3 linked regions of the Saccharomyces cerevisiae S288C genome follow. The gene in region 3 interacts genetically with the main gene of each other region. Each region holds a gene or a part of one and is shown on either strand. Other genes may lie near its edges.

Region 1 (4,091 bases), on a different chromosome or scaffold from region 3:
TTTCTTTAAGTACTCCTTTTCATCTAACCATGCAATAGCTGCAATAAAAGCTTTAGAAAGTCTTTTCTCTTTGTCAAATTTCAATTCACGCTTTAAATCAATTATCTGGCGAATACCATTTTTTGATCGTTTTACCACCTCAACTATTGTTGCTAAATGATCCCTAATATTAATATAGGGATTACTATCCACCCCGTCATGGCTGAATTTTTTTAGCTTCAATTGCTTCACGACGTGTCCCTTATAAATCAGTTGTGAACTTGTTAACAGGTGGTTTATTTTCTTGATACGTCCAGTCACACTTCTAGGATCTTGCCCAGTTACCTGCGCCAAATCCATAGTATTGATCCCTTTTTCTCCTGATTTGGCAACTTCGAGAAGTAGTTCAAATGCAGAATTTCCAATAGTTGACTCCTTTTTTGTGTATCCCGTTAATAATGTCCATAGGCTGTCCTCAGTAATCCCAACCGAGTATGAATGATTAGCGTCGCCTATAATATCAGTCACATTTTTAGTTGTTATAGCACCATCACAATACACCTCAATGTCCTTTTTCAATATCACGCATGAAAGCACGAACTGTTTAACTTTTTTATCAGACAAATCAAAATATTTACCAGATATATCCCACAGCTGATTCAAAGTGATTTCTTCAATGTGTCGTTAGTAAATAATCTTTCACAATATAGTACGTTTATCACCTAAACGGAGCCGAAAAGGAGAATGAGACATGAACATACTTCCCTTATTTGAAGCAATTTTATCAGACACTATTTGTACGAGTTCGTCAGGATAAATCGTCAGTACCATTTTTCTTGTGGCTAGTTGGCTTCAACCAAACGTCCTCTTCTCTCTTATGGCAAGAAGAAAGTTATATGTGTGACTGGTTGTTTATTTCACTTTCGCGACTGAAAGCGCCGCCCTTTATGATGCAAAAAACCAAGCGGTATTTGAAAATGCAGATTTGCAGAAATAAAAGAAATAAAAATAAAAATCTTATAATTTTACCAGCTTCAATAACTCGATTTGCATAAGTGTGCCTTAGTATGCTTATTATATTGACTTTGACATTGAACTTCAAAACCTTTTATGTAATGATTTAAGTCTTGTCACATGACATAATAATAAATAATTTTAAAAATATAAAATATTTTTAATAGTTTTTAAATATTTTACAGTTTATTTTTTAAATTTATTTATATGTTTTTGTTTTCCGAAGCAGTCAAAGTATTTTAATTTTCGGAGCTTTCATTTCAAGCGCCTTTTTTTTACACATAATACGATCAAGATAAATTATTATAGTGGTACAGAACTCTTAAGCACTAGGCGGTGGACCTTATTAGCTCAATCTTGAGTCAGTCCATGTATCGTTTTATAATACTTTTTTAAGCACTTTCTTTAATAAATATTCCATTGAAGTACTGTTACTGAAATGAGATGAACTGTTCAGAATGTAGAAATGGCGCCAGAAATCAATCATTGTTTAGCAAAAACACCTTTCGTCTGCTGCCTCGGGTGTTTTTTCAAATTATTTCAGCAGGTAAATTAAGATAGTTATTCGAGTGATTGCCAAATATCATGTTCTACTTCGAAGACTTATAGCTAATTAATTTTTTCATAATGAAGGTGTCGTTAATTGTTCTGATTAGTAACATGAAACTCAAAAATCATCAAAAAAAGAAAAGCTAAATGTATACTTTTTTGTCTACATTAGTTACCTTTTATTACATGAGAAAGTTATTTTTCTTCTTTTTTTTTTTTTTTTTTTGAAACTTTTTCCTCTCGGAAAATAAAAGATATATTTACAAGTGAAAGCTTATTGTAATGTGTACTTTTAAACATCAAATAACAGACCTTTACATCAAATAAGCACCGCAAGATATCCTAAAATCGACATCCAATGCATCGTAAATCATTGAGGAGGGCTAGCGCTACTGTGCCTTCCGCTCCCTATCGAAAGCAGATTATTAGCAATGCACACAATAAACCAAGCCTTTTCTCTAAAATTAAAACTTTCTTTACCCAAAAAGATTCAGCCAGAGTGAGTCCAAGGAATAATGTTGCTAATAAACAACCACGCAATGAGTCTTTTAACAGAAGAATCTCAAGTATGCCTGGAGGTTATTTCCATTCTGAGATATCCCCAGATTCTACTGTAAACCGTTCCGTAGTTGTTTCTGCAGTGGGTGAAGCCAGAAACGACATTGAGAATAAAGAAGAGGAGTATGATGAAACACATGAAACTAACATCTCCAATGCAAAGCTTGCAAACTTTTTTAGTAAAAAAGGTAATGAGCCTTTATCAGAAATTGAAATAGAGGGTGTGATGTCATTGTTACAAAAATCAAGCAAATCCATGATAACTTCGGAAGGAGAACAAAAATCAGCCGAAGGTAATAATATCGACCAGTCGCTTATCTTGAAGGAGTCAGGAAGTACACCAATCAGCATATCTAATGCGCCGACCTTCAACCCAAAATATGATACTTCAAATGCGTCAATGAATACGACTTTGGGAAGCATTGGTTCAAGAAAATACAGTTTCAATTATTCTAGCCTGCCCTCACCATACAAAACAACCGTTTATAGATATAGTGCAGCGAAAAAGATCCCCGATACATACACAGCCAACACATCTGCTCAAAGTATAGCATCTGCTAAATCGGTAAGAAGTGGTGTTTCAAAGTCAGCTCCTAGTAAGAAAATAAGTAATACAGCTGCGGCATTGGTCTCACTATTAGATGAAAATGACAGTAAGAAGAATAATGCAGCTTCAGAACTTGCTAATCCATACTCCTCATATGTAAGCCAAATACGCAAACATAAGAGAGTTTCTCCAAATGCTGCACCAAGGCAAGAGATCAGTGAAGAAGAAACTACTGTTAAGCCATTATTTCAAAACGTTCCTGAACAAGGCGAAGAACCAATGAAACAACTGAACGCCACCAAAATTTCACCATCTGCGCCAAGCAAAGATTCTTTTACTAAATACAAACCTGCAAGGTCCTCATCCTTACGCTCAAATGTCGTCGTAGCTGAAACCTCACCTGAAAAGAAGGATGGTGGAGATAAACCTCCATCCTCTGCTTTTAACTTCTCGTTTAATACTTCAAGAAACGTTGAACCTACTGAGAATGCTTATAAGAGCGAGAACGCACCATCTGCATCATCAAAGGAATTCAATTTTACCAACCTACAGGCGAAGCCGTTAGTTGGAAAGCCAAAAACCGAACTTACAAAGGGCGATTCTACTCCCGTCCAACCAGATCTTTCGGTTACTCCTCAAAAAAGTTCATCGAAAGGCTTTGTTTTTAATAGTGTTCAAAAGAAATCACGGTCCAATCTTTCACAAGAAAACGATAATGAAGGTAAACATATCAGCGCCTCAATTGATAACGACTTTTCAGAGGAAAAGGCGGAAGAGTTTGATTTCAATGTTCCCGTGGTGTCTAAGCAGCTAGGAAATGGCTTGGTTGATGAAAATAAAGTTGAGGCTTTCAAGTCCCTATATACCTTTTGATAATGAAAATTTTAGCCGTGACATAATTACCGTATAGCCCAACTCAATACGTAAGTTTGTGTAAAATACCATTCCAAGATGATATTATTTAGTCATTTTTTTTCCACTTTCTCAAAAAGAAGGAATACCTTTAGCGGCTCTTATAAACTATAAATTTCTAGAAGATACATAAAAGGTTTTTAGTCTGATCATAAAATTTTTTGCTTAACAAAAAATTTGCCCAGGTGTTTCATTTGCCAGCCACAAGTAACAGCGAGAACAATTAATTGAATGACAATCCACCACATAGCACGAGAATTAACAGCTTCAGAGGCGTCTCTAAAGGTAGCTTCACGATCTCTCATCAATTTTTGCTCTCTTCTAATTTCGCCGATCTTGGAGTTTAGGACGTTAACCTTGGCATGTAGAATGTCAATAGTGGCTTTACCCTTAGAATCTAACTTTTCATCAGAGCCCACTTGGAATTCAACGTCAATCTTCGTTTTAGCCTTAATCAACCAGCCACCAGCTTCGGGCTGAATACAGATTTTATGTTCACCCGAATCAGACGCAAGGAAAGTTAAATCACCAC
Region 2 (3,238 bases), on a different chromosome or scaffold from region 3:
AATGTGCTGAATTGTGTCAAATTTATTTTAAACATCTATTACAGGGCCCACGTTCGAGCGTACCGTTAGAATTAGTGAACTCAATCCTTGTCGTCGTATCGCAACATTGTGCAAACATCAAGCAGTGGAAGAAAATATTCGATTTGGTGAAACGCAGTTCCTGTACTGGTATCACAAACCATGTCATTAATATGTATGACCAAAACAGTAGCGAAACCGCCATGTTGATTCAAAACGGTGCAATAGAATCTCTTGGATTCTGTTTAGATTCTGATATCGTGAAAAAAACTTTGAATTTTATCACTTCCAATATTGAGTCAGAGGGGATGGAACTGGCATTATTCGGATTTAATTACAACTTTAAGAAGAGGCTGAACAAAAACGAGAAACCTCAAGACCAAGTCGTTCGTGAAACGATCTGGGAGTGGTATATGGGCAATTTTGACCAATGGGCACGGAAGGCTACAAGGAAAGGTACCACCACGGGGGATCATCTACACAAGGCGTTAAGGAGTATTTCCCTGATAATCTTTCAAATGTTTGTAGCAGACGAGCCACAGAAGATAGAAAAGTTTATTAATTTGGAGAAAGAGAAGTTGGGTCAAAGCTTGTTATCTTTGGACGACATCTGGGCCTCTGTCCAGCAAGATGAAGAGTCCAGAAAGACTATAAGAAGAGACTTGGCCTCCTTGGTCTGATTTTTTACAAGTATTTCAACACACTATCGTACGTAGATTTAGTAGTCTTCTAAAATAGTACTATAAACGATGTTCTCTTAGCAGAATTCGAGTTATTATTGTCATATACTACGAAAAACCTGTAGATTCAACAATAATAGGTTGGTATAAAAGAATGTAAACATAAGGAATATTAATCTAGTAATTTTTTTCTCATGAGGTTGAGAAAGCATCTAAAATAGCAATTAGCAAAATGGAGAAGATCAAAGAGAAATTGAATAGCTTAAAATTAGAATCTGAGTCATGGCAAGAAAAATATGAGGAGCTGAGAGAACAGCTCAAAGAATTAGAGCAATCTAACACTGAAAAAGAAAACGAGATTAAATCTTTGTCCGCTAAAAACGAGCAACTCGACAGTGAAGTGGAGAAGTTAGAGAGTCAATTGTCTGATACAAAGCAATTGGCTGAAGACTCCAATAACTTGAGATCTAATAATGAGAACTACACCAAGAAAAACCAGGATCTAGAACAACAGCTAGAAGACAGTGAAGCCAAACTGAAGGAAGCAATGGATAAACTGAAAGAGGCCGATTTGAACTCTGAGCAAATGGGTAGAAGGATCGTTGCTTTGGAAGAAGAAAGAGATGAATGGGAAAAGAAGTGCGAAGAATTCCAAAGCAAATATGAAGAAGCTCAAAAAGAATTGGACGAAATTGCTAATTCATTGGAAAATTTATGATTCCCATTGATAAGACTAAAATTACGGAAGATACAAACGACAAACGCGCTAAAGGCAACGGAGGTGATGATTTTATTATTGCTCACACAACTGATGTTGCTGACAGATGGCAAATCCTTTTCATTTTAGTTATTATCATTGGGTGCTTTTTGGAAAAAAGATGAACTAAGCCTCTCTTTATTTCGTCCATTTTATTCTAGCTTTTACATTATGCTTTCACCTTTACCAAAAAATAGTATGTATTTCTTTTCCCCTTGCTATAAATCAAAAGTACGTAGAAACATAAACAGGCGAGAAATACATATGCATATACGTCTACACTACTAATTTAATTTCCACTTTCTTAATATCAGTCAATCGAAACCACTAGCTTTCACACTAAGACTAGACCCTGTTTAACTAATATAAACTTTTCCAGAAAGCTAAAAAAAAGGTCGGAAAAAGAAGGTATACGTTTTTGCGACGACTGAGATCCAAGAAGAAAAAAAAAATAGTAATCGTTGCGTCAGCTTTATGAATAGATGGGTAGAGAAGTGGCTGAGGGTATACTTAAAATGCTACATTAATTTGATTTTATTTTATAGAAATGTATACCCACCTCAGTCATTCGACTACACTACTTACCAGTCATTCAACTTGCCGCAGTTCGTTCCCATTAATAGGCATCCTGCTTTAATTGACTATATAGAAGAACTTATACTGGATGTTCTTTCTAAATTAACGCACGTTTACAGATTTTCCATCTGCATTATTAATAAAAAGAACGATTTATGCATTGAAAAATACGTTTTAGATTTTAGTGAATTACAACATGTGGATAAAGACGATCAGATCATTACGGAAACTGAAGTGTTCGACGAATTCCGATCTTCCTTAAATAGTTTGATTATGCATTTGGAGAAATTACCTAAAGTCAACGATGACACAATAACATTTGAAGCAGTTATTAATGCGATCGAATTGGAACTAGGACATAAGTTGGACAGAAACAGGAGGGTCGATAGTTTGGAGGAAAAAGCAGAAATTGAAAGGGATTCAAACTGGGTTAAATGTCAAGAAGATGAAAATTTACCAGACAATAATGGTTTTCAACCTCCTAAAATAAAACTCACTTCTTTAGTCGGTTCTGACGTGGGGCCTTTGATTATTCATCAGTTTAGTGAAAAATTAATCAGCGGTGACGACAAAATTTTGAATGGAGTGTATTCTCAATATGAAGAGGGCGAGAGCATTTTTGGATCTTTGTTTTAAGTGCAAAAATGAAATTTGAAGAATGGAATTAAAATTAAATGTCTCTAAGTATAAAAACTAAATAAAATATAGGGTATCTGTAAACCACTAATAAAAAATAAAACAGGAAAATAAAATTAAGCAAAATATCGTTGCGTATAATCACAGCATTTCTGGGATGCGTCCGTGAATGTCCTTAACTTGACCAACATTGACATTACTCTTATTTGAAAAATCTACTAACCTTTTCTTACTTGGTCTTCTGTCTGGTTCCATGCTATGGACCCAGCAAAAATTTTCACCATCTTTAACCGGAACAAAATCGTCAGAAGATGAAGTTGACATTGTTGTGGGAGTGATTCCGTTTTTACCGCTTTGAGAGTCTTGAATATTTTGTAAGTGGCGGTTACGATGCTTCGTTACGTTATATGGTGATGGTGTTACTGATTTTCTTACGGGAGAAGGGCTAATATTGCTGTTCCAAGGGTCCAGTGAAGACATAGTGACATCCCTTGACGTACGTTTTTCCTTCTCTGGTGCTTCTAAATCGAAAAGTTTTTCTGTATCAACAGTTTTTTGTGATCCGTAACTG
Region 3 (3,624 bases):
TCTTTCTGATATTGTCGATCTGAAATACAAAAATCAATTATGGTCAGAAGTGGTAAAATATTTAGAGCATAATAACAGTAATATTAAATCGAACTTAACTGAAATTCGAGGTGAAATAATGAAATGTTGGGAATGGATAGGTCCGATGGAACTCAATGAACCTAAGGATTCCGCTGAAAACAAAATATAACCCACAAAATGAAACTCAAACGTAGTTTTCTCTTCTCAAACTTAATGATCTATTGTTTTTCCGAGTTGCCATATTTGTATAGTTTATTCTATTTATACGGTTATCCTAATATCTGTTATATAATTCTTTATGTAATACTTTTGTAAAGTTATAATGAATCTAATCCTGAAAATGACTTGTAAAATAATAAGAATTTTTTATTCGATTTAAAGTAAATATTAATACGACACATGGAGGAAAGAAAAACTAGACGATATAGGAAGAAATACAAATAAAATCAGAATTGAAAGAGTAACTAGAGGATTTTGGAGTAATAAATAATGATGCAAATTTTTTATTTGTTTCGGCCAGGAAGCGTTTCAAGTAGGCTTGCGTGCATGCAGGGGATTGATCTTTGGTCTTCCAACTTCTCTTCGTGTCGATCTTTGTTGCGGAACGGCTGGCACTGCACCATTTCCATTAGGATGTACTACCTTAGAAGGCGGCGCAAACCGTGGAGCAGCTGCAGGCGGAAAAGCTGTAGCGTTCGTTTTAATTGGTGTGGTTTCACGCGGTACTTGATTCCCAGCCCCTTCTAGCATATGAGGCCCCAGTTCTTTATCATTGTTCTTCATGCTCAATTGTTTTCCCTTTGGTGCAAATTTTTCATAGACAGAATCCCTCGCGGTGGTCATCGTTTTGTCTTTTAGCACACTCGCTGGAATATGCTTGGACGTAGTCTGATCAACGGTGTGCCTAATGGATTGTGCCTGGTATTTGGGATCAAAAATGCTCTCTTCACCAATATAACGTTCATTTTGTACGGAAGTTGCAGCCTTAGCTGTAACAAAGGTGATTTGTTCTGCCTCTGGGTTTGAGCTAGCAGTTGGGCTTTGCTTAGCTACAACGGGATCCTTCTCTGTCGTTAAAACATTACTGTTTGTGTTGCCCATATTTATCAAGTCGTCGTCTTGAAAATCATCGCTAAACATAAGAGAATCATCGAGAAGGTCATCTTGATCCTGTTTGGAAGCATCGAGAGATTTGAGATCAGTATCTTTATTACTGCTGTTTTTACTGTTAGCCTCAGCAGGTGCGGCCATCATTGGGGTACCTCGACTTACTGTATTTTCTATTTTCACCAGGTTCTTCGTCGAGTCGGGATTGGTATTTGTAACTTTAGTCAATTGCCTTCTTTTATTCGGGTATTGTTGTTGTTCTTGATTTTCATGCAAAGTATTCGTTCTTGAGCTTTCGCTGATTTCATCCGTTGGCCTAAACAAATTGTTTTCGTCAAAATCTGGCGGATCGAACTTCACCTTATCGATCTTTGCCAGAAAATCTTTATCGTAAAGACAATTTCCTAGAGCATTACCAAACCCTCTCAAAGATCTTTTCAAGGCATCCGTAACGGCAGATTTCTTGGCCCTTTCGAAAGCGGCAGGTTTCCGTCTTTCGTTCTCCACGGTACCATACCCAATATCTTCCCTATAAGTCCCGCTAGTCAACGTAACACGAACAATTGCAGTACACCCTATGCTAAACTTTCCCTGTCGCTCATCCAAAAAATCGATAACTACACTTTTTACCTCCGTAGACCAGCCATTATATCCAAAGATTTGATTAGCAAGATTAATTACTCTCCAACCTTCGATGTATGCAATCCTGCTTGTTCCAAACCCAACTCTCTTGGAGATATACTCAGGTCCTAATTTCTTGTCCAATTTGGTCTGTATGTCCTCGGAATGGTTACCGAAAACGGGCTTCTTCTCATCCATATCCATAATTTCATTCATCAACAACACACCAAAGCCACCAGAACCTTCAGCAGTTCTTGGCAACCTCCTTGTTTGCATTTGTTGATTCTCAGTGGCAAAATAGCTTAAAAACGCCATTCGATACCGGTCGCGTAACCCGCCCGCCGCTATATTTTTCGTCTTTTCTTAACAGACTAAAGAATATAATAACATCGAGAATCACTAACGGGAAGAGCAGACTCTTTGGCGATGAGTAAGTGTGATTGAGAAGACGAAAGGACATTACAGGGCAAGCAGATGATACAGACGCCAAGGGAGTTGTTGAATCCACGGTACACGTACCATACCATCTTTAGCGACGTGTGCAAGACCCGATTCAACCATTTAGTTACGAGGTTGTTTTTCATATGTTCTATTATCCAAACTGTGGTGATTTCACTGCTGGCGTTGCCACACTCACCGTTATGGGAACTGGCATTGGCATTTATTCCCAATATTTTAGCTCTTAACCTAGTTTCCCTTTTGATCATTGTGACAAGAAAAAATTACATGCATGTAAAGAATTTTGGGTTCGCTAATTCACTTACTTTCATTCTAGGCCAATTGTTATCAGTAAAGTTTCTTGTATACCAGGGAGTCTATAGCATGGGCAGCATCCTTTTATCATTCGTACTGGGTGTGGTTTTCGGACGTGGCGGATCTGGATGGAAGCCATACTATAAGCTGTTTATTTGGCTAGTCGTTCCCACGATTTACAACCTACAACATCATGTCACTGACGCTGACAAATTGTCGTTCAACTGCGAAAACTTTTTCCAGGCCCCACAAGACTACGTATTAGAGCGTGTCAAGAGGATTATGGAGAAGTCAGTCATTCTAAGTGTAATCAGCATGTTCGTATTACCAATCTTTACCACAGTATTTTTTTCCAGGCAAAAATCGGGATTATTTGATTCATTTACGAATGGCGTGCTAGCTGTCACAAATTTACTAATAATCTCCTGCATTATCTTCATCACTTTCGAATTCATAAATATAGCATTTGACGCACATATGTCCATAGGTTGTCTGCACAAGGGCAAGCTAATTTCGAATTTGTCGTCGACGCCGATGGAAACCCTGCTTAGTGGGCTTTCTGCAGACAAGCCATTTACTAGGTTGACTGCCTACCAGGAACTAGCGTATAGGGCCACTTCACTGGATCCATCATTGCGAGCACCAATATATCACTCCAAGTTCAGAAGCAGTAGTGGTAATACTTGGTCATTAATCCTCAATGAATGCTTGAAGACCATTCAGATAAACAATGAAAAGGTTGTGCAGTACCTAAGATCAGTACAAGATCTTGGGGGCTCTGCAACTGCTAGACATAAAAAAAAAGTAGAAAATCTAGATTATATGTATGAGAACGGGAAACTAACAAGCGCCAACGAAAGACTCTTTGGGAACCGACCCTCTATGATGGCGCCATTACGGGATAACGGCTTATTAGATGAATCACCAAACAGGCTGAGGGTAAGAACTGACGATAGTGTATTGCTTAACCGCGGAAACAAGAAAAGGCATAGGTCCTCGTATTACGACAACGATTTAGATGAAACGACACAAACTTTTAACGGCTCTATTTTCACCCACGAAACAACATTTATGACCGCTATGCGTCTGATGTTAAAAAAACTGAAAAATTCTATAATGTCG

What was found. A genetic interaction does not mean that the proteins touch.
Region 1: mutations in RAD52 (region 3) and NUP60 together harm fitness more than expected from each alone (negative genetic interaction), as found in Saccharomyces cerevisiae (7 studies listed by BioGRID, with this or other methods).
Region 2: mutations in RAD52 (region 3) and REV7 together harm fitness more than expected from each alone (negative genetic interaction), as found in Saccharomyces cerevisiae (5 studies listed by BioGRID, with this or other methods).

The regions. Positions count from the first base shown.
Region 1 is NC_001133.9:150,357-154,447, forward strand, and holds NUP60 (FG-nucleoporin NUP60), read left to right. Parts: upstream 1-1,900; coding exon 1,901-3,520; downstream 3,521-4,091. Other genes in the region: transcription factor TFIIIC subunit TFC3, read right to left, coding at 1-650, 741-810; ERP1 (Erp1p), read right to left, coding at 3,709-4,091. UniProt on the Saccharomyces cerevisiae protein: Functions as a component of the nuclear pore complex (NPC).
Region 2 is NC_001141.2:87,408-90,645, reverse strand, and holds REV7 (Rev7p), read left to right. Parts: upstream 1-1,929; coding exon 1,930-2,667; downstream 2,668-3,238. Other genes in the region: TMA108 (Tma108p), read left to right, coding at 1-698; tropomyosin TPM2, read left to right, coding at 931-1,416; AXL2 (Axl2p), read right to left, coding at 2,809-3,238. UniProt on the Saccharomyces cerevisiae protein: Required for DNA damage induced mutagenesis. Involved in DNA repair, mitochondrial DNA repair and translesion synthesis. Has a role in the bypass of abasic (AP) sites.
Region 3 is NC_001145.3:211,966-215,589, forward strand, and holds RAD52 (recombinase RAD52), read right to left. Parts: upstream 1,966-3,624; coding exon 550-1,965; downstream 1-549. Other genes in the region: SRC1 (Src1p), read left to right, coding at 1-190; NDC1 (Ndc1p), read left to right, coding at 2,224-3,624. UniProt on the Saccharomyces cerevisiae protein: Involved in DNA double-strand break (DSB) repair and recombination. Promotes the annealing of complementary single-stranded DNA and by stimulation of the RAD51 recombinase.